4 separate regions of the Mus musculus genome follow, and regions 2, 3 and 4 are each reported to be linked to region 1. Evidence: microRNA targets listed by miRTarBase, many of them from high-throughput screens and not tested one by one. Region 1 holds a microRNA gene; each other region holds the end of a gene's coding sequence.

Region 1 (5,834 bases):
GTGGCACAGTTCTTCATTAGCTTGAAGGTCTTGGATGTTGAGTTCCCCTCATCTATCATGTTCAGAGTGTGGAACATATATCTCATATATAATTCATAAAATATTTTATGGCACGAATCTATACTTTAGTTAAGACAAGAATACCATTTTGGAAGACCATTGATGTCTGGTAATTTCATCTTTGTTCTTGCTATAGAAACATCAGAGAGTCCAACAATGTAAAGATAAATGGTATACATTACCGCATACCTTTCCTGTGTAGTATATATTCATGAACCTATCCATATTTCTAAACACAGATCAACCTGTAAGTAACTATCTCTAAGAAGATAATAATTGGAAAATATGATGTGTCCTATATATCTTACTCAGCTTTTAAAAAGACAGTGAATCATTGCACTGTGGTCTTTCACTAATGGATAATATACCTCACCTATTTCTGACTTCAGGCACTGTAATGGGTTGAAAATAAGTGGTGCTGTTTAATTAATTAGCTCACCAGAAAATTAGTTCCTCCATAATATCTCACTCTCTGTCCATATACTTTCATATAAAATTGATAGCATATTTAACAGAATCGGGGAAAAGAGTCTTTTAGGCAAATAAATTCCCCTAAAGAGGGGCTCTCTGGGAGAATTTCTTATGTTGAAAGCTATGAGGAAGGAAGAGAGGAATGCCCAACTAGCACCAAAAACTGAATTTGGATTGTCATGTACATGTCTTGTGTAAATAAAGAAGCAACTAAAGCAATGAAATACTATAAAAATCTGCCTTGAATTCACTCTGATGACTATTTAACTGACTGGATTTCACATTTGGAATGGTTATTCACTAACCTACTTAATGTTGTCTTTTTATGTGTGGTTGTCCTCTTTCAAACTGTTGTCTGGCTTCTGAAATTTATCTCATCTACCCTGCTGGTATAGTGAAGCTCAAACAGAAAATTAGCCTGATTCCTCAGGTGATGAAAGAAAATGCTGAGTTGGCAACTCTATTATTAGGGAGGGTTTCAATTATAGATATGAGAGAGAAAACATCTGGATCTATCTTGAAGAGTCTGTAACAGAGAGAAAGAAAACCAGATTGGACATTGTGAGATCTATAGCATGCATGTTGAAATGTACTTGTGGTACAGAAGGAACACAGAGGCCAGCATGGGCTTTGATAAGCTAATAGGCACCATGGATATATTTCCCTGTACCCATATGTCTCATCTGCCATAGGTAAGGGAAATGTTTCCTTTAATAGCTGTGAACTAGTTTCTGGGAATGCTAGAATTTATCTAACCCTCAGAAATCCTCCTTTACTCACTGTAGCTTGAGCTCATTCCTGGATGTTTGGAAAGTCTGTGGCCTCACAATTATCTGTTTTCAAATCTTCCTTGACTTCTGAGTGTATTTCATCCACTCAACGTGAAGCTCAAAAGGAAATTTGCCTGATTTCTCAGGAGATTTCTTCTGGGCCAGTTTGGTTCTGAGTGTCACAATGTTCCTTGAATCCTAGGGCCTTTCCACACAGCTGTTTCTCTATCATGTACAACTGTCATGCACATCTGCCATGCACATCTGCCATGCACATCTGCCATGCACATCTGCCATGCACATCTGGCATACACATCTGCCATGCACATCTGTTATGCACATCTGCCATGCACATCTGTCATGCACATCTCCATGCACATCTGCCATACACATCTGTCATGCACATCTGCCATGCACATCTGCCATGCACATCTGCCATGCACATCTGCCATGCACATCTGGCATACACATCTGCCATGCACATCTGTTATGCACATCTGCCATGCACATCTGTTATGCACATCTGCCATGCACATCTGTCATGCACATCTCCATGCACATCTGCCATACACATCTCCCATGCACATCTGTCATGCACATCTGCCATGCACATCTGTCATGCACATTTCTCAGGCTTAATGTTGCTTAGTATCTTTATTTTCTAATTTCTCTCATTTGTTGTCTACAATCTGGACATGCTTGCTAGTTTTCACTTATATCTAAATTTTGTGTAATTTTCTACTTTCAGCAGTAGTGTAGCAGAGAACAGATGACATTTTAATTTCTTCTTTCTACTGTTTTTAATGTGCCCCGTCTGCTTCAAATGTTCTAATCCTATCCTCATTGCTAAATTGTATTGTACCTTCAATTTTTCAACTAAGTAATTTCTCACAGAAACCTCCTGCTATGACTGGATAATGTGGACTCTAAAGCAATCTATGTGGACCCTTTTTAAGGAACACAATTGTTCTTGTTGGTTTTATTTATTTTGTTTTATCTGTTTCTTGAAGCTAGGGTATGTATTGGGTTTGCATTTACTTCCTTATACCTGGCAAGCATTATGTACGTCATATACCAGCCATACGGTAAGTATATATGAATGTGTAAATAATTTTACAATTTATTTTCCACTTAAAGTTTTTCCTTGCTTAGCCAGCCAGTCTGGCCTTACTTCCCTGTTTTACTTGGGAATGCACAGTGATATGTAGTGACAGTTTTGAACACACTAAGATGTTAGATTTGCAAATTTCTGAAAAATATTGTATGTTAATTATTATTGACATTCATGGTATACATACAAAAAGTCAAAATTCTCAAATCCATAGATGGCCTGAGAGATATAATCCTAGTCCATTAAAATTTAAAAATTATTTTCTTTTTAATGATCATAAATTAAAATTCTAGTTTTCTTTTAAATCTTTAGATAAATGTTACCATTGAAGCAAACATAACAAAGGAGAAAAACGAAAGATGTTTCATTCCTGTGAATTTATTAAAGCAGTGCCCATTAGAGATTTTTTTCAGTTACTTTGGTGTTTTGTTTTGTTTTGTTTCTCAAAGCTGAACCTAGTGAGGAAACTAACATATATTTAAGTAGCCTCAGAGAGTTTCAGCCAATCACATGCAGAACTCAAACTTAAGATAGAAAAAAAATCAGATAAAATCTAAGAACTTATGCAAAATACATGTAGGCTAACTGAGACTATTTTTAGAGCAAAACAACCACATCATGTGTATGTTGTAATGTGAGATGCACGTATGAAATGTCATTCCTTATTTTACTTCTCTCCTCCCACAGGTTATATTAATATCCATATCTCAATTCTATGAGCATAGTGGGCATTTTACTTCTCTTTCATCTCTTGGTTGTTCTTGCTCATTCCTCTAATTGATCTACCTTGATACATAATACGGAAAGTATAATTTGGTTTTATGTATTTTTCAGATTTTTTCAGTGTTTCTTATTATTTTACCAATTAAAAATGTATATATTATAATACTATATATATAAAACCTGTTGATTCATGAATGTTTATTCTCTTGCTCAAATGTTGTTAAAATTAAATTAAATTATATTTTAATGCCATATGAACGATAAAAAGATGTCTTGAATAATTTTTCAAACTCTGGGCATGGTAGCATATAATTTTTATGTTCATGTGTACAAGCATTACATAAACTGTCACGTGCTATGGATTTCTCTGTGAATCACTATATCAAATCTAGTGTGGTAGTGGTTTACAAAGTAATTCATAGTGCTTCACAGGTGCTCCTACAGTTGATCTGTATTTTGAAACCTAGGATCCTTCATTGGGCCATTGAGAACAAATCCTTAAGCTATAAGATTTAAACCTTTCATAAACAGTTACTTTGTTAATTAGAGAACAAGAAGCAAAGATATGTCAAGCACTGGAAAATTAAGCTACATATATTGTAACTTGCTTGTAATATAACACCTGAGAAGCTGAGGCAGGAGGATGGCAGCATTTGAGGACTGCCTATTACATATTGCCAGGCCATCTCATATCTCATATATATATATATATATATATATATATATATATATATATATGTATATATATATATATATACACACACACATATATATGTGTGTGTGTGTTTGTGTGTGTGTGTGTATTTTACATTTATGCACAGTCTGTTCTTGTTTTTTTTAGCAACACCTGCCCCAACAATTGGCAGTATGCCCTATTTTTAAAAATGCAGTAGATCCAAAACAAAAGCACTGAATTGACATCTGCACCCATTAATTATAAGTGAAACATTTTGAAATTTAATTCTGTTACTATTACTTGGACAAATATATATATATATATATATATATATATATTAATAAAGAGGAAACATTTTTACAGAGAGCTTATCCAGTGACTTTACTGATTATGCAATTCAAATAGAAATTAATCAGGGAATTTATAAACATCATTATTTTAAAATAATTTTAAAAGTAACTAAATTTTAATACTATTCAAATGATACAGACACAGAATTAGCCAAAATATACAAAATTGTATACTTAATTTGCCATTATTTATCATTAATTCTCTACAAATTTAGCTTCTGTCATCTTTTAATGGCAAAGAAATTTAGTAAGAGTCTAAAGCCATCGTCAATGTTTGAGAACTTGGATTGTGCATCAAGAGAACCAGGGTACAATTTGCTGCACACCTGCATCATATGCATCACAGAAACCAATAAGTTCAGCTGAAGAGATCTGACACTCTCTATCACTCTCTATTGGCCTATGTTGGACCTTACACTAATGTGCATGTTCCCACACACAGATGCACTCATATACATACTCATAGTGTTAGAATAATCTTTAAAATGAGTAAGTTTCACAAGGCTAAAGAGTATAGTTGCTATCATGTTACCTACCAGTTGCTGGGAAACAACAGGAAGTTCATGGTTATTACCCTCATTAGTGTTGTTAAATGTGCTGATTCTAGAAACAGAAACCCAACCTTTCACCATTAGTTTTTCAATCGCTGGTATAAGCTCCAAAAATTTTGTTTAGTTTTGGTATATGAGCTCTTCTATTTGAAGGCTAGAACTTAGGTGTAATCTAAGCTCAGTCATATGGCAACAAGATTTTCGTAGTGATAGATTGTATTTATCTCCGATTTCTTGTGACACCATTACATTCCTAAATGATAATGAACAGGATTCTGAAATTACTTATGAATCATCATTGAATCAATCTATTATTTCTCTTCTGAAGTTATTTTTGTCTTGCTATATTAGAGCTAATACATCTTGTTTACAAGTTTAGGTATCATTACAATGTCCTAACAAATCAAAAAGTTTTTCCATTATACATTAAAAAATAAATCTTAAAAATAAAAATATATGTTACATAAATAATGATACTTTATTTGAGCCTCTGTAATTTAAATAAATCACATATGATGCAGCTGGAGAGAATCCCCACAAAATTATCTCCAATTTTAAAATAGGGTTTGAATGTGTTATCCTAATTTCTTAGGCTTTACTTCAGCATCAGTTATAATTGTCATTATTTTCAATTACAACTGCATATTTCTTTTTCTTAATACTCTATATTTCTAAGTATGTTCTTCATAGCAGTAAAACCATGTTATGATTGAAAATTCCACTCCTCTTAGAGAAGGGAATAAATGAAATAGAGCCAGAATAACAGGTTTTGGGCATAAAGCTGTTCTATAGCTTTGTGATTTGTTACTGTTTTTTAAAGAGATGCTTATCATATTTCCTCTGAGCTAAAGCTTGGTTTTAATGCCAATATTTAGTATTGTTGCTATGTAAATATTGAAGTAAGCGACAGAATTTTCTAAGAGATTTTTAGTTACTAGACCTAACAACAGGGTCACCAAATTTATCAAATAGCCATATATCCAAAACTCTTTTCATAAGTCTAACATCAAGTTGTATTTATATTAATATACTACTGGATGCTTTTATTCCTACTTTAAGTACATATAAGCAGAGTTACAGAAAAGCAGTTAATTTTAAGTGTAGTTTGGATAGAACATAAAC
Region 2 (5,834 bases), not on the chromosome of region 1:
TGCTTAATGACTTTGACCTGAATCCAACCTTGTTTGATTATGGCACCTGCTCTCTCTCTATTTGCATTTTCCCAGTTGCACTGCCACTCGTCTTCTCACTTTAATGATCACGAATTACTTTGTTCTCAGTAAGAGCAAGCAGCCCAGCCTTGGATTTTACTTTGTGATCCAATCCATCAGTCTCGTTGCTTTAATGGATGACATAAGCCCATATACAGGTTTGGACAAGAGGTAAGTTTGAGCAGAGGCATTCGTCTGTCATGCTTTCTCCTATACATCTTTCAAAAACCCCTTCATATTGTCTACTTGCTTCATTTTTGTATAGGTTTTTCTGATAATTTAAACGCTTTGTATTGTTGTGCAATGAGGTAAAGTTAAAATGACCTTAATTTTCAGTTTCTTTGGATCTTATCCACGATGTTAATGTTATTCCCTAAGTAGTAGTAGTCATCACAGGAGCATATACTCTTGGAAGCTAAGTCTTTTCTTTTTACTTTCTATTCACTATTTAAACATTATTGCTGTCTGTATCTCCATATGTACACATGTGTATGTGCAGGTCAGAGCACAGCTTTATAGAGTCAGTTCTCCCCTACCTTCTTCCATTGAATTCCAGGGATTGAACTCAGGACACCCACCAGGTTTTACAAAAGTGCTTCTCCACCTGTGAGTTTTGACCCCTTTTGGAGGTCAAACAACCCTTTCACAGGAGTCATCTAAGACTATTGGAAAACACAGATCTTTGCATTATGATTCATAACAGTAGCAAAATTAGAAGTAGCAGCAAAAAAAAAAAAATGGTTGGGGGTCAGCACAACACGAGGAACTGTATTAAAGGGTTGCAGCATTAGGAAGGTTGAGAAGCACTGCTTTAGAGCAAGAACCTTTATCTGTGGTGCCATCTTACCAGGCTTAAAAAAATAACTATGTTCTGCCTCATGGGGGTGGTGCTCAGCTTTAATCCCAGCACTCAGGAGGCAAAGGCAGAAGTCAGAGGAGTTCGAGGTCAACCAGGTCTACTGTCTGAGCGCCAAGATAGCCAGGGCTACACAGAGAAATCCTGTCTTGAAAAACCAACCAAATAAACAAACAAAACCTGTATTAAATGCTCCTAAGCCCCTTATTTTAAATATAATTCCACTAGATTTGGCAAATGTGTAGTCATGGTATCTAGCATATGCATATACCTTAACTTTCCAGGCATGTTTCATAAAATATAAGGTGGAAAGAGATAAGACACTCAGTTTGACCTCTAACCTCTACACGTGAACACAGCTGCATAAACATGAACACACATGACAAAAACCAAAAAATAAATTTTAATTTAAATATAGTACAGTGGTATGTGATTCTTTTGTTGTACAAAAATAGTTGTAAAAGTGTTTTTTCCATTTTTAAGTATACACTACAGACTATTTTTAAATAGTACATTGCTATGATAGACTGTATAAATTACACATTCCCCAGCCAAGCCCTTCTTTTCCAGGCTGTCATCTGTGAGAGAACACAGTACGAACTTGATGCCCTGTCAAGACAATCAGAAACAATTATCCCTCCTAACAGAATTGAATGTGCTTCTCTTTAACAAGCCTTCATGTTTCTGTCTCAATCCTGTAGATTAAAAACTTTTAACAGTAATCTAAAATTCTGCTGTTGGGGACAGACCGTCTTCTCTCAAGGAAAATGTCAGAGACTACTAAGTAGTAAACTCACAATGTCTCACTGGGAAGTCCATGACTGTGAATGAGTGTCTTTCAGGAAGCTGGAACTGAACAGTGTGTCACTGAAGATGTCAACAGCTCCCAGGAGTTGATCTGCATCCCACTCTTTTGCTTCCAAGTATTTAAAGCAAAATAAGTTTCATAAGAATGATTCACAGAACTATAGCAGGTTTAGTCATATCTGATCCACCTAGTACCTTTGGCAAAGAGAACCAGGTGCTACTGAAAAAGAGGGAACACCAGAACAAGACAAGAAGCTCTGGCATAAGGAAATGGTGCAGTTTTGTTTCCTGCAGTTCTGTTAGACCAGTACTGTGTTTTGTGCTTTGGCCCAATCATATCTGATCCTAATGTAAAAGATGGCACACTGGCCATCTTCTCGGGAAGACTTGTCCCAGGACTCAGAGATACAGAGCTGAGGAACACCTTGGGACTGGCTAGAGATGAAGGCTGTGTTCAGCCTCTGGTCCTGTTGCTTCAGCTGTTTTACTCTGTACAGGTTTCCCTCTCCTTTCTGTGCAGAACTCCCATCTGCCATCTGCAGCAGGAGGCTGGGAAGGAAGAAGAATTAATGGTGTTTCTAAAAATTCCTCCACCTCCTCCTCTGTGCAGTCCCTGCTCTATGAGGATGGGTCTGTATGTTCTAGCTTGTGTACCTCAGACCTACAGAAGAAAATTACAGAGCATACAAACAAGCAGGTAATCTGATACACAAAAAGATGTATGTCTGTTTTCTGAAAGTAGGATGGAAGCCTGACAATACTTTGTTGTAGAAAAAAGAAGTTTATGTGATGACAGCTCAGAGACACGAGGCTGAGATATGATGGAGAGGCTAGCCATTAGGAGGTCTCTTCAAAGGACCTGCTTTATACTTGTATCAATAAATCCCTACGATGTGTTCATGTGTGCGCAATATAAACAGGTACGTATGCTGAGCAGTGGTGCACACATCTTTGATACGAGCACTCGGGAGGCAGAGGCAGGCGGATCTCCGAGTTCAAGGCCAGCCTAGTCTACAGAGTGAGTTCCATGACAGCCAAGGCTACACAGAGAAACCCTGTCTCAGAAAAAATATACATATATATATATTTCATGAAAACTTTCCCAGTCCTATGTTCAAAATTGCTGTTCATTCAGAAGATAGTAAGAACCCTGCCCTGGCTTTGTTTCCTAAAATACAAGGGAGACCTAACTCTGAGACTTACACACCTTCAGAGATGCCAAGTTTTTCCTTTCACTCACCTTTTTAAAACCATATACTCAGCTTGTCTCAACGTAACAAGCTACTCACAGAGAGTGGTCTCATAAGCTAACTAACTACTACTGACTGCTGTTTGGTAGAGGGCCTCATGGCCATCCTCAGAATCACACAGCTCAGAAAGACGTCTCCCAGGAGTCAGAGATGTAGTCATGGATGGGCTAATGTACAAAATGATGGAATATGATCAAATGATGGCAATTCTCTAGTATAAAGGTACTTGTTACTGCAGGTAGGAGAAAATGTCCTGCCGGGCATGGTGGCACACGCCTTTAATCCCAGCACTCAGGAGGCAGAGGCAGGTGGATTTCTGAGTTCGAGGCCAGCCTGGTCTACAAAGTGAGTTCCAGGACAGGCAGGGCTTATACAGAGAAACCCTGTCTCAGAAAAAAAAAAAAAAGAAGAAGAAAAAAGATATGTCCTGAAATGCTAACAGAGAAAGAAAAACAAAACTAGTATCTATTCCTAAAGCCAGTAAATTACAGAATAGTGTTCAGAATGATTATGGAAGAAAGGCACCAGTAGATTACATTGGGTGTCAGCAGGCCAGGGAGATTCCTGTTGCCTGATGCCTAAGTCCACACATACCACCCACTCATCCTAATGCTCTAAGAGCAAGGAAAGAAATGTCAATCAAGCAGGGTCCTGGATTGCATATTCAAGTGCAAGAAAACAGTTCCAATTTGACGTGAGAGGAAGCTGGTCCTGGCCTAGGGTTTGGCTGCTTAGATGGGCACTCTATTCTCCTTGGCCCACTTCTTCATGATCCTGATGATATACTCCACTTGGGTGTTTCCTGTGCTTCTCAGTAAATGCAGCACTTCTCGGAGGGTCTCTCTGAGGAAAGGTTTTAGAGAACACATTTTTTTTAATAAAGAAAAACTAGCGATCTCACGACATAGTACTATATTGCAATGAGGTGTCTGTGCTCATGGACCCTCCACTGGGCATTTCAAAGCTGCTACTTTTCTAAGCCATGACAATGGGTTGCTTCTTCCACATATTTGCTCAAAAAGGGTTCAAATATAATATAAATGAGAATAGCAGTAAGGACCAGAATTTGGTGAATGCCCAGCATTTGCACTTTAACTAATACATGTTTTAACTTAAAAACTCGTTTTATGTATGCATGCATGCATCCTTATGTATGTGTGTATCTATGCATATATATATATAATCTGTGTGTATATATGTGCATGTATGTATGAGTATATTTGCACTATGCAAGTGCCCGAGAAGGACAGAAGAGGGTGTCAGATGCCTTGGAGCTGAACTTACAGGTGTCTGTGAGCACCTGACATATGTGCTGGGATTCACACTGTGATCCTCATGACTGAACAGCAAATGCTCTTAACCACAAGCCTCCTCCAGCCCCAAGTTAAGATTTATTATAATTAAAGCTTGGAGTTTAGGTGAGGCAGGCTGAAGCTTCTCTGGTGTCTCATCAGAGATTTGGCAACTGTCTGTGGATTTGCTCCCCATGTGGTCTTGTCTTTTTTGTTTGTTTGTTCGTTTTTTCATTTTTTATTAGGTATTTTCTTATTTTACATTTCAAATGCTATCCCAAAAGTCCCCCAAACCCTCCCCACCCCCTCCCACTTCTTGGCCCGAGGAACCTCCTGCATCTGACTAAATGCTTGTATTCAGGATTATACATAAACACAAGGCAGGAAGTAAATTTTGATAATTTGCTTGCAAAATTTTTACAGTTTTCTATCCATATGCATTAAGCAATAAATATACTGCATGGAACTTTTTTTAAAAGATTTATTTATTATTATATCTAAGTACACTGTTGCTGTCTTCAGACGCACCAGAAGAGAGCATCAGATCTCATTACGGATGGTTGGGAGCCACCATGTGGTTGCTGGGATTTGAACTCAGGACCTTCGGAAGAGCAGTCAGTGCTCTTGATCGCTGAACTATCTTTCCAGCCCACAGAACTGTTTTTATAACACTAAATTAATGAATTAGTTTTAGCCCTGGTTGACTTTGCTGGACTTGAGCCCACTATTTTGCTTCAGACTCCCAAGTGCTAGGAATTTTCTTTTAAGTATTTTAGTTTTTATCCACATAGAAGTATAATCCTCTTAGTTTTTACATAATCAAATACCTTAGCATTTCCTGGAATACATGAAAGAAGGCAGAAGCAAAATAATTATCAACCATGTCTACTCCATTTCTATTTCTTTGAGGCCTAAATTAGACAGCAGAAGGGTTTTTTAGAGGGCAGAAGCATCAATGGCACTTGCTGTGGAAATGGCTCTTCATCCAGAGCCTGATGTGCCCCTTGCCTTGGATTTGGAGGCTCTCATAGGCTTAGAGTCCCCAGTATGTATGACTTAGAGTCATTTGATTTCATAAAATAAGACATTTCTGGAAGAAAATGATCATGCAATGTTAACATCTCAATATTTCTACCTTTAAGCTCCTCACCAGGGGCAGGTGGATAGAGGCAGCTCTGTCCATTTGTTCACTTACTTGGGTTCTCTCCCAGCTAAGATCATCTGGAAGATGCCCACACAGGCACCCCTCTTGCCTTCCCAGTACTCAGGGTTGGGATCCAGTCTTTCTAAGACATCAAAAGCTTTGGCTGAATAGTAGAACTGGCCCATCTGCACAAAAGAAAGCATGGTGGTAGTATTGACATTTAATCAAGAGGTGGGACAGAAAAAAACATATAGAATAGTGAACAGAACGGGATGAAACAAATGCACAAAAAATTTTGAGGTAGCAGCTTAGGTACATTTCAATTCCTAACTAAAACAAAAGAACCACAGTTTAAATGCATAGGTTCATTTACAGCCACATGACCCTACTTTCAGTAATTGAGCATTTTGTCAAATACTGTTGAC
Region 3 (5,834 bases), not on the chromosome of region 1:
ACAACAAGGTGTACCTGCGCACCTGCCTGCTGTCCTCCAACAGCAGGACCCTGTTCGCGGGTGGATACAACTTACCTGGCGTGATCGTGTGGGACCTGGCAGCCCCATCCCTGTATGAGAAGTGCCAGCTGCCCTGCGAGGGCCTGTCCTGCCAGGCACTGGCCAACACAAAGGAAAACATGGCCCTTGCCGGCTTCACAGATGGCACGGTCAGGATATGGGACCTACGGACTCAGGAAATAGTCAGGTGCAGACACAGGGACAGGAGCACTGTGAGCTGCGGACTACGAGTTCTGAGCTCTTACCCAAACCCCACTCCCCCAGAGTGGAGCCACACCCTAGTCCCCTCACTAGGGGATTCTGGGTGGGACTCTACCCTATCCCTGACCACGCCCACAGCCTGCTTGTTTACCTTTAGGTTAGGGTAAGTGTCTCATGTAGCCCAGGTTGTCCTCAAGCACAGAGGAGGAGAACCTTAAACTCTCCTTATCTTCCTGCCTTCACCTTCCAAGTGCTGTGTGTGCCTGGCTTATTCGTAAATCTTGTTTTTCGTGGGCTTTGTTTTGTTTTGTTTTTCGAGACAGGGTTTCTCTCTGTGCAGCCCTGGCTGTCCTGAAACTCACTCTGTAGACCAGGCTGGCCTGGATCCACCTGCCTCTGCCTCCCAAGTGCTGGGATTAAAGGCGTGTGCCACCACTGCCCAGCTCATTGTAATTCTTGTAGGACAAGGGAGAACAGAGGCTCAGGACAACCTGCAGGAGCCTGTTCTTCCACTAAGTGGGTTCTTGGAACTCGGCTCTCCTCTACCCACTGAGTGACCTGGGAGCCATCTGGTCAACACTTTTACTTTTATTCATTTTATCTGGCATAGGGTCTCACTCTGTAGACCAGGCTAGCCTTGGAACTCAGTGATCCACCTGCCTCTGCCTCCAGAGTGCTGGGATGACAGGCTTGTGCTGCCAAGCCCTGCTCAGATTTTATCTTAAGGTCGGATCAGGTGACGTTTTCAGGGATGATGCTGAACTTGCTCTGAAGCCTAGGATGGCTCTAACTCGCAATCATCCTCTCTTAATCCCGAGTAGCTGGGATGACAATTGTGAGTCACCACAGCCAGCTTTGGGTCTTCTCCATCACCCTCATTGTTGAGGCAGGGTCTCTATGTACCCTAGCCTGGCCTGGAACTCATGGCAATCCTCCTGCCTCAACTTCCTCAGTACTGGATTTATAGGTATTGGAACATTACCTTTTAGAGGCAGGGACTAGGATGATGTCACTGTTGCCTTCTTGCCAAAGGTGTTAAGAGTACCTCAGGTTGGGTTAGTCCCACGGCTTTGAGGGAATCTTAGGGACTGTCGAGCCTAGGCTTACCCCTTTGCTTTCTGGCCAGGAACCTCAAAGGCCCTACCAATTCGGCCAGGAACCTTGTGGTCAAAGATGACAACATCTGGACAGGGGGTCTGGACGCCTGCCTGCGATGCTGGGACCTGCGGATGGCCAAGGTGTCACTGGAGCATCTGTTCCAGTCCCAGGTGCACAGGAAGGGTGGCTGCACAGGCGTGGGCCTTTGGGTACAATGACAAGGTGCACTCAGTGTCAGGAGAGGGAACAGCCCAGGTCAGCTCAAGGAATTTTTGAGAAGTCACAGGGGTCTTTAAAATACCTTTTGTCATACTGGACAATGGTGGAGAAGGCTGTCGTCCCAGTACTCAAGCTGAGGCAAGAGGATGAAAAAGTGAGTCCATCTTGGGCTACATAGTGGAGAAGGAGCTGGATCTAGGGGGTAGAATGTTTTCCTGTCACTCAGCACTAGGGAGCTGGGGGAAGGAGGGTCAGAAGTTTAAGGTGGTCATCAGCTACACAGGAACCTGAAGGATAGCCTGGGCTACATAAAAGCCGGTCTCAAAGACTATCGTTGCAAATATTTTATGCTGGAGTTCAAGGCCAGCCTGGGCTATGTGGCAAGTCACTACAGCCTAGGCTATGGAGCAAGACCATGTCCCAATAAAACCAACCAGGGAGACAGACTTGTCACTGCCATAGTTAACCCTGTGAAGTTCATACACCTCACAGAAGGAAGGTGTGGAGACACAGTCGGGCCACAGCCAGTCAGTGAGTCATTGGGTGGGCGGGCGTTCGGGCGGGGACCTTGCAGCCTGGCCGCCCAGCAGGGGTCTGATTGCTACCTCTGCCTGGCTCACCCAGATCATGAGCCTGGCTCACAGTCCGACCGAAGACTGGCTGCTGCTGGGCCTGGCCAATGGCCAGCACTGCCTGTTCAACAGCAGGAAGAGGGACCAGGTGCTCACTGTGGACACCAAGGACAACACCATCTTAGGCCTCAAGTTCTCCCCAAATGGTAAGGAGTCCACTGAGCCTGGGCATGGTGGCACACGCCTTTAATTCCAGCACTGGGGAGGCAGAGGCAGGTGGATCTGAGTTCAGGACCAGCCCTGGTGTACAGAGTTCCAGGACAGCCAGGACTCCACAAAGAAACCCTGTCTGGGAAACCAGTCCACTGAGGATGGGTGCACACTGTGGCCACTGGCCTCTCAGAGGACCCTGCTATTTACTCAGTGCCCAGTCAGGGCTTGGGTATTGTCCACACTCCAACATCTTTTATTAACATAATCATAATCAGGAGTTCAGAGTCATCTCTGGCTACTTGGGGAGCTTAAGGCTATCCTGAGCTATAAAAGGCTTCAGACGGCAAAACATAACAAAAGACAAAACAGTAAAACTTTTTGCTGTTCTGCCTTGTTCTTTGAGGCAAGGTCTCATGTAGCCTAGACTCATTCTCATCTCAAACTCTCTCAGTCCTCCTGCCTCAGCCTCCTGGGTGCTGCTGGATGTTAGTGAATGGGTGGGGTCTGCTGTAACCTCCCTGTCTTCCTTCCCCTCCTCCTAGGCAAGTGGTGGGCGAGCGTCGGTATGGGCAACTTCATCACGGTCCACAGCATGCCCACCGGAGCAAAACTGTTCCAGGTACTTATGTGCAGGGGGCACTGGGGGCTCTGTCAGCGGGACCCTCAGCATCATCCCCACAGGGGTCATTTCTGAAGCTCTGGGTGGAGAGGAACTGAGCTCACTCAGCTGCTGTCTCAGGTCCCCGAGGTTGGCCCTGTCAGATGCTTCGACATGACTGAGAACGGCAGGCTCATCATCACAGGATCCAGGGACTGTGCCTCGGTGTACCACATCAAGTACTGACAACTTCAACTCCCCTCCCCTAACTGCACAGTGGTGGATGGCAATGGGTGTGATGGGTCTGCAGTGCTTCTAGAGGCTTCCATGGGGTGTGCAGATCCCGAGTTGCGTGTAATAAAACAATTGAAATGGCAGAGATTTGTCCTTTACCCAGGTTTTGGAAGAACTTTGTAGCTCTGAGCCCTCCAACTTCTGAGTGTTTGCCTTTAATCCCAGCACTCAGGAGACAGAGGCAGGCGGATTTCTGAGTTCCAGACCAGCCTGGTTTACATAGTTTCAGGACAGCCAGTGCTACACTAAGAAACTAGCCCCACCCAGTTTTTGTTTTAAAGAGAGCCAGGAAGATGGTTCAGTTGGTAAAGCCCACACCAGGCAGGATAAGGAGTGAGTGTAAATCCCTGATCCAGCTCTGTAGGTAGAGACAGGAGGATTCCTGGGGCATGTTGACCTGTCTGTGAGGCTCATTAGTGAGATCCACACTCTGAAAATTGGGGCAAAGAGAAATGAAGGCTGATACCCAGTCGGGTCCCTCACCTGTACGCTTCACACACACACAGAAAGAAAGCAAGTTGATAAATGTGTTATATTTCCCCAGTGCCCCAGCCCCACCCAGCCAGGAGGGAGCAAGCCAGGTATGAGCAGAGGGGCCCGTGTCCCGAGTGGCCAGCCATCCAGGGCAGGTGACCTGAAAAGGCAGCAGATGGCTCAGTACACCACCTCATACACAGTGGCCTTCTTGTCCCCTGAGCCTGTCACGATGTACTTATTATTCCTGGAGATGTCGCAGCTCAGTACAGAAGATGATTCTTTGGACTGGGACAGAGAAAGGGGAGGTGAGGGGTGGCCACATGGTCACCACCACCAAGTTTACAGACCAGAAGCATGGGGCTTGGAGGACAACAAAGGCTGGTAGATGTGACTGTTGCCAGGGCCTTGTAGCTGGGGACTGAGCTAGCCTGACTGGTGACTTAAGAGATGGTACCTAACTCATCACAGCTCGACTTCAGATGGCTTCACAGCAAAGTACCTCCCTCCTCTTCCCTCATTCTCTCTCAAACCAACCATACTTCTGCCCCATCCTTCCAAGTGCTAAGATTACAGATCTGTGTCACCGTGTCCTGGAGGGACAGGGGTATCCCTGACATGTGAAGGGTTGATAATGGTACTGCTCTGGATTGGAGACTCCTGGGGTCTTTGATGGTTAGGAAGGACAGGAAATGTGAAAGACCACTATAGCACATCCATTGAAGGTTCAAGAGACTTATTAGAAATTGCCACCTAGGGCTAGTGAGATGGCTCAGCGGTTAAAATCACTGACTGCTTTTCCAGAGGTCCTGAGTTCAAATTCCAGCAACCACATGGTGGCTTACAATCTGTAATGAGATCTGATTCCCTCTTCTGGTGTGTCTGAAGACAGCTACAGTGTACTTATAATAAATCCACTGTGGTACACAGAGGGACCCAAAGTGTGGGACTCTGTAACAGGAAGTGTCTAGGACAGGAAATGTCGAGCTGGCCTCCATTTGGGGGAGACCAGGTACCTGAAAAATGCTGGCCCCATAGGGTGTCCTCCAGGCATTGAGCAGGTTGTCCTTGCCTGTGCTCACAAACCAGCGTCCTGAGATGGGAAGGGGAGGGGGCAGAGGGGAGGATGGGAGTGACCACCAGGGTAGGAAACCTTAGAAATTCACTCCTTCCTGAAGCCGCCTACTATGCAGTATCAAAAAGCTGAGAGCTGCCAGGCAACATGGAGTGTCCTTGATAGCTGTCTTTTTTTTTTTTTGAGACAGTTTTTCTGTGTGGACCTGGCTGTCCTGAACTGGCTCTACAGGCCAGGCTAGCCTTGAACTCAGATCTACCTGTCTCTGCCTCCCGAGTACTGGAATTAAAGGCATGCAAGTCACCTCGCCTGGTCCATCTTTTTTTTTTTAAATGTGTCTGTGCATTTATCTAAACTGGCTTTGACCTGAATAAGCAGCTGGGTGGGCAGGCCTGGGTAATTCGTTATCTAATTTAAGGCTTCACCCCCATCCATCCACCCTCCCTCTGCTGTGCCAAGGGGTCTCCCAGGCTTGTACCACAGGAAGCGAACTTGAGTGACAGCACGCAGCTCTCATGGAGGCGGAGCTGGTACTTCTCAGGCTTGCGCACATGCAGGACCTCCACGTGGCTGCTCTCCATCCCCACAGCCAACCAGTCCTGATTGGGACAGTGGCCCAATGAGAAAATCTAGGTCAAGAGAGAGAGTGCTGAGACCCTGGGGTCACACATGATGCTGGAAGAAGGCCCAGGGGTGCCCCAAATGGGGACAAGAAGGTGGCCAGTGACAGGTGTCACACCTTAGCATTCATCAGAGGAACACAGCACCTTGAGATTCTGGGCAGAGGGAGCTGGCTCTACAGGTGGCTCAAGGTCCAGGGCTGAGCCTTGACTGTGTCCTGCTTCTGACTGATGGGGAGTCAGGATCAGGGGTAGAAGCTGCAGTCACTCTTAGTCTAGCAGTGGTTTTTTATTTGTATTTGTATTTGGGGGTGGGTTGAGACTGTCTCACTATGCAGCTCTGACCACCCTGGGACTCACAGAGATCCACCTGCTCTGCCTCCCATTGCTGGAATTAAAGACATGTCCTG
Region 4 (5,834 bases), not on the chromosome of region 1:
CATTCAGGCTCAGTCTGGTTTGGTGTGGTTAGAATAAAGGAGCAGACATCCCTAGCTCTGCCTCTCCTGTCCCCCCTCACTTCTAGGTTTTCTACTATTCAACCAGCATCTTCGAGTCGGCTGGGGTGGGACAGCCAGCCTACGCCACCATAGGAGCTGGTGTGGTCAATACGGTCTTCACGTTGGTCTCGGTAACTGCTTGCCTGTGGAATGGCCACACCACTGGTGTCATAGCCCTGGGTGCCCTGGGGTTACTCTTTGTCACCAACTGACCGCTGCACACACAACCCCCTCTCCCCCACAGGTGCTCTTAGTAGAACGAGCTGGACGACGGACACTCCATCTGTTGGGCCTGGCCGGCATGTGTGGCTGTGCCATCTTGATGACCGTGGCTCTGCTGCTGCTGGTGAGGCCTCAGGACTTTGAGAATACAGCAATCTTACCCATGGGGATAACCCCAAGAGGCTCTGTGGCTGGCTGTGCCAGGACCGTGGGTGGGTGCTGTAGTCTACGGTCTATGTTTCTGAGGTACCCTGGCCACGCTGGGGCCTAGCATAATGTAATAGTTCCTATGAAACCTCAGGAGCAATGATTCCCAAAAGCACAACTTCGGAGCCAAGGGAGCAAGAAACCAGAACATTCTACCTTGAAACTTCCAGAGGTAGCCAACAAAATGACAGCAGCTCTCAGAAACGCTCTGGGGCAGTGCAGCACTTGGTAGGCTGAGGTGGAGGCCTTGAAAGTTCAAGGCCAAACTGGGCAACATGTGACACTGTCTAAAAGGGCAGTGGACGGGGGATGCTTTAGGCCTGCTTTAGCCTAGAATGGTAGCTTCTACCCGATTAAGCCCTGGAAGATTTCAGTTCTCTGGGCCAAAGGCAAGGGGAAAGGCCAGAACCAAATTTTCTGCTATTCCTTCCTGGTCTCTAGGAACGGGTTCCAGCCATGAGCTATGTCTCCATCGTGGCCATATTTGGCTTTGTGGCCTTCTTTGAGATTGGCCCTGGCCCCATTCCCTGGTTCATTGTGGCAGAGCTCTTCAGCCAGGGCCCCCGCCCAGCCGCCATGGCTGTCGCTGGTTTCTCCAACTGGACCTGTAACTTCATTGTCGGCATGGGTTTCCAGTATGTTGCGGTAGGTTCCCTACCCTTTGCCCAGTTTCCCACATCCGTGGCCAGAGGGAAGGCAAATCCTCCCGGCCCCCCCCCCCCAGTTCCCTCACTGTCTGGTCAGGGACTCCCAGCCATGTAGGTGGTCTCTGGAAGATAGGTCTGGTGGAACTACTTCACCACAATCAAGGGGGAGGCAGGCGGAAATAGATGGGTGGAAATAGGTGGAAATCCAGCAGCTTAGATTTAGAAGTCTTCTAAAAAATAAACCAGTGGTATAATTTAAACTTTCTATTAATGCTATAAGTGGTTTAGAAATCTACTCCAATTGTACACTTAGGAGAGCAAAGGGTAAAAAAGCTAAATGAGATTTTCAGTGAAAGCTTTCATTTCTGGTCATTGCCACTGCCTCTTAAGGGAGCAAACCTGCTCCTCACATAGCCCCAGTTTCCTTAGTCTTTGGTTCCTGGCTTCCCATCTCTGTCAACATTTCTTTCTCCAACTGTCCCAGGATGCTATGGGTCCTTACGTCTTCCTTCTATTTGCCGTCCTCCTGCTTGGCTTCTTCATCTTCACCTTCCTAAAAGTGCCTGAAACCAGAGGCCGGACGTTTGACCAGATCTCAGCTGCCTTCCGACGGACACCTTCCCTTTTAGAGCAGGAGGTGAAACCCAGTACAGAACTTGAATACTTAGGGCCAGATGAGAATGACTGAGGGGCAAAACAGGGTGGGAGAGCCACCCTCTCCACCCAGACTCCCTCCTTTCCTCTACAGCACTTTAGCCCTCTCTTCCCTGTTACCTCCAGGTTGAAGGAACAGCAGCCTGGGGAACTGGGAAGCTGAAGGGAGGGGTGGTCCATGTACCCCTCATTCCCCCTGTGTGATTCTTTTGGATTATTTATGTGTGTGGCTAGGCTGTGGCCACCTAGATGGGCTTTCTCCGTCCTGCCTTCCTCCTGCCCCTACCCAGACTCAGCTCTAGACTACTTTCCTCCCCTTTCGAGAAGGGGTCTGCAGGAGGGTGGGGTGGCCCTGAATTCATCAGGATAAACAGCAGGGGTGGGTGTGTGAGCGAGTGCTTTCCTCCCACAAACTGGCACTTCCACTGAACTCTTGCCACACAGGCTCTGGGTGAAGGGGGTTGTCTTGACCCCTCCAGGGCAAAGGATACACCCTCCCAAAATCTAGCCCTGCCTCCCCACAGGCTCCACCCTCCCGGGCAAAGGAACACAATAGTACATACCTGACAGGGCAAGGACGGTTAGAGCGCATCAGTCTCCATTTGGGGCCCTAGGTTGTTCCCAGGGCTGCAAAGCGTAGGTACCAACACTTTCTTGTTCCCCTCCAGGAAGGGTGCTAAACCCGAAAGCTTCTGACCAACTAAGGGCGGGAGGGGATTTGAAAGGCTGCCTATAAACACTGGTTGGGAGGGAGCCTTTGGTATTTTTGTATGTTTTGAAGAACGGATAGGGAGCAGAAACCCAAGGGCTGCTGTATTAAATGTGTATATAGAGATTCGTCCATAAAGTCACTGTTTGAAGATGAGTGTCCTGTGCTGGAGGAACTGGAGGGTGTGCAAAAAGAAAATGCCTCACTCACCCTTTGCACTTCATCCTTCCTGGGCTCAGGGCACCGAGGCCTCTAGATTCTGTCACCTTTTTTTTAGGGGGGGGCGGGTTTCGAGACAGGGTTTCTCTGTCCTGGAACTCACTTTGTAGACCAGGCTGGCCTTGAACTCAAGAAATCCGCCTGCCTCTGCCTCCCGATTGCTGGGATTAAAGGTGTGCGTGTGCCACCATGCCCAGCTGTCACTTATTTACATCCACTTTCATTGCCCTCCTCCAAAAACTAGGGTTTCACTGCATAGCCCAGGCTGCCTTGTAGCAAACCTCTTGCCTCAGCCTTCCAGAGAGCTGGTTTGCAGGCCTGAACCCAAATGCTCTACTTTTTAAAACAATTTGTTTTCTGGAAACAGAAACGTGGCTCAGGATGACCTGGAATTAGGAATCCTGTCTCAGCTCTCTGAGCGCTGGCACATCTTTCTACTTTGATTTTTATCCACTGCTTAAAGATTTACTTATTTTATGTGAGTACACTGTCACCGTCTTCAGACACACCAGAAGAGGGCATCAGATTCTGTTATAGATGGTTGTGAGCCACCATGTGGTTGCTGGGAATTAAACTCAGGACCTCTAGAAGAGCAGTCGGTGCTCTTAACCACTGATCTATCTCTCCAGCCCTTATCCACTGCCTAAATGAACAGTAAGTGGTTTGTAAACTGTATTTACAAGTGCCTGGGCACTGCTGAGACTTCACCCCCAGTAACAGATCCAGTTACTCTTGGTGAAAGGGTTCATGTCACAACTGAATAGCTAGGGGTACTGGAGCAAGGAAGTACTAGCAGGCCCTGCCCACTGTTCGGGTCTCAGCCCCACCAGAGAGTCTTCATCCTCAAACAGAAGAGCCAGAGACCAGGACAACAAGAAAGCCTGCTTTTGTTTTTACTGGAGGCTCAGGTGGCACATGACAGTTCATAAAATGGCTTCAGAGGTGTTGGGGGGAGGTCGAAGGGAAACAAAAAATAAATGGGTGGGGAAGAAAAACAATCAGGAGGAGGTATGAGCTGGCTGGTTCCTTCTCAGCCTGACTAGGGAGGGAGGTGATGCCTCGGAACAATAAGGATGGATCCCTTCCTTCAACCCATGCTAGGGGAGAGGGAAAAAAAAGAGAAAAAAGCCAAAGGCTGGTGCTTTGGCCCTCCTGAGTCTCAAGGGAAAAGCCGATGTTTTGATGTCATGAATTATGGGAAAGTGGGGAGGGGGATGCTGGGTAGAGTCAGTTGGAAACTGGCAGATACCTAAGAGAAAGAGAGGGAGACCAATCATAAAGGGTCACTTGGCAGAATCCACCACCCCTCCCCCTCTCCGGCTCTTGGTGAGATGTAGCACTCACCAGATGGTAGCTCTGGGTGTCCTCTGAGTTGGAATCACTCCAGTATGGTGGTGGGGGGGTCCCCACTGTTGATAGGCGCGGAGGTCTGAAGAGCAGTGGTGAACTGAGACTTACTTGTTTACAGCCCCCTACTTCAACCTTTTCTTAACTTTCCTCTTCTCATCCCTTCCAACCAGTTCTCACACTTCACACCCCAAAGATGGGCATGGGGATGGGACATGCAAAGGCACCCTGGGCTTGACTTGCCTGCATAGGGGTTTCCTGGTGAGTAATGCCAGCCAGGGGTGGGCCAGGGAGGATGCCAGAGGGACAGGGACAAGGAAAGTAGAGGTGCAAAAGGACAGAAAGTACCAAGACCCTCACCTCTGCGGCTATAGGCTGCCGGGGGCCAGGGGGCTGCTGCCGACGCCGCTGGAAGTAGGGACGGTTTCGTGGACGCTGGGGCTCAGGCCGGGAGCCATCAGTGGGGCCTTGGCTGGGCTTGGTCTCTCCATCCCCACCTTCTGTGGTAGGCTGTTGGGGTGGCCTGGGGCGGAAAGGCCTAGAAAGAGAAACAAGCTGACAGGATCAGAGAATTGGGCAGACTCCCTTCCCAGGATTCCTTGGTTTGTCCCCATCTGTTCCAGGCTCTAGAACTTTTGTCATTTCACACAGGCCCAACACTGGACCCTGAAGGGGAAGACAAAACAACAGTCTTACCTTCGGTACCTGGGCCGGAATCTGGGTGGGGGCACCCGTTCATCTCCCTGCTGTTGATCACCCTCCAATGGTGCTGTCTCCTTGGGTTCTACCCCATCAGAGCCCTGGGAATACACAAAGGCCTAGGTGGGCTGTGGAACGCCTGATGTCTTTGGAGCTTCCTTGCTCTTCGTTCTACTTCCTGTGAGGACCACAGTCTCTGCCCTCACAACTCCCCAACTTCTTTCCATAATGTAAGAGAACTAGCCTCCCCGGCTGCAACTCTCCTCTCACCTCTATGGGCTGTTGCTGGTTGGGGGGCCGAGGGCCTCGCACAAACCGCCTTCGATAGAAGAAGGGTGGTGGGCGCCGTCGTCTAGGTCGCTGCCCCGAGTCCTCTGCCCGCTCCCCTTCGCTGCCAGGTTCTGTCCCACCTGAGGGAGCCTCTGCCACCATAGGTGGTGGGGCAGCTGGGCGAGGCCGAGGAATGAACCTCCGGAACCTACGTCGATTAGGGGCATAGCGGCTGCCCTTCACTGGTACCCCCCCAGGCCCAGTGACATTAGCAGCTTCTGCACCCTGGGGAGGTAGAGGGGGAGCAATCAGAACCTGTTCTGACAACACACACACACACAGTACTTACAAACCTGCCAGATCACTGGTGTCCCACTTCTTCAGGCCCAAGTCCTCTACCCTATCACTCCTCAAAACCACTCCTCCTTTGTCCCCTCCCCCGAGGGGCAGCAGAAAGAGTTTGTACCCATCTGAGAAGAAACAACTTGTCCTTAGAAATAACTGCCACATTCCCCCCAGAGTGTAAAGACAGGACAGGATGAGATAGAGAGAGCCACTGTCCCTCCTTCATTCCAGAGGACTGACTGAGGGTCCTGTTAGGGCTGGGGTCCCGTGTAGAAAACAGACATGGAAGTGCTTGGTGAACTAAAGAGAAGAAACCCACATGTTACTGGCTGGTGACAGGGATGGGTTCTTTAGGACATGTCCTAGAGCAGCTCTAGCGTTCACAGGCAGAGGCAGAGCTGGTCCCAGGAGGGCCAGAGCTTCGGCTGACCTCCAGGCCACCCTCCCACAGTTCT

The links. The annotated mature microRNA mmu-miR-876-5p reads UGGAUUUCUCUGUGAAUCACUA and lies in region 1 at 3,494-3,515, shown strand. An mRNA with a match to its seed (bases 2 to 7 or 8) in the 3' UTR can be bound and repressed. Matches are read on the target gene's strand: a 7mer-m8 pairs with bases 2 to 8, a 7mer-A1 pairs with bases 2 to 7 and ends in A, and an 8mer does both.
Region 2: the mRNA of Ttc26 is a reported target of mmu-miR-876-5p. Seed matches in the 3' UTR shown: 8mer at 3,283-3,290.
Region 3: miRTarBase lists Tle2 as a target of mmu-miR-876-5p. Seed matches in the 3' UTR shown: 7mer-m8 at 3,443-3,449.
Region 4: the mRNA of Slc2a4 is a reported target of mmu-miR-876-5p. Seed matches in the 3' UTR shown: 7mer-m8 at 2,851-2,857.

What each region holds. Positions count from the first base shown.
Region 1 is chr4:36,643,103-36,648,936 of GRCm38, reverse strand. Mir876 (microRNA 876) reads left to right here and starts at 3,484; the gene lies at 3,484-3,564. All of the region lies in intron 2 of Lingo2 (leucine rich repeat and Ig domain containing 2), which reads left to right.
Region 2 is chr6:38,423,110-38,428,943 of GRCm38, reverse strand. It overlaps Ttc26 (tetratricopeptide repeat domain 26), which reads right to left. Exons shown (of 18, transcript NM_153600.2): 17 at 5,461-5,594; 18 at 1,297-3,816. The coding sequence ends at 3,705. Among named protein-coding and RNA genes, the nearest start is that of Ubn2, 7.9 kb to the left of the region's middle.
Region 3 is chr10:81,588,408-81,594,241 of GRCm38, reverse strand. Tle2 (transducin-like enhancer of split 2) reads right to left here. Exons shown (of 21, transcript NM_019725.2): 18 at 5,283-5,433; 19 at 4,746-4,822; 20 at 3,890-4,017; 21 at 3,397-3,685. The coding sequence ends at 3,910. Tle6 (transducin-like enhancer of split 6) reads left to right here. Exons shown (of 14, transcript NM_053254.2): 10 at 1-247; 11 at 1,388-1,529; 12 at 2,203-2,356; 13 at 2,906-2,982; 14 at 3,103-3,337. The coding sequence ends at 3,207. Among named protein-coding and RNA genes, the nearest start is that of Gm32024, 3.2 kb to the left of the region's middle.
Region 4 is chr11:69,939,359-69,945,192 of GRCm38, reverse strand. Slc2a4 (solute carrier family 2 (facilitated glucose transporter), member 4) reads left to right here. Exons shown (of 11, transcript NM_009204.2): 8 at 87-191; 9 at 305-406; 10 at 931-1,134; 11 at 1,621-2,907. The coding sequence ends at 1,824. It overlaps Ybx2 (Y box protein 2), which reads right to left. Exons shown (of 9, transcript NM_016875.3): 5 at 5,035-5,319; 6 at 4,762-4,865; 7 at 4,426-4,603; 8 at 4,063-4,147; 9 at 3,590-3,967. The coding sequence ends at 4,097. Among named protein-coding and RNA genes, the nearest start is that of Slc2a4, 5.9 kb to the left of the region's middle.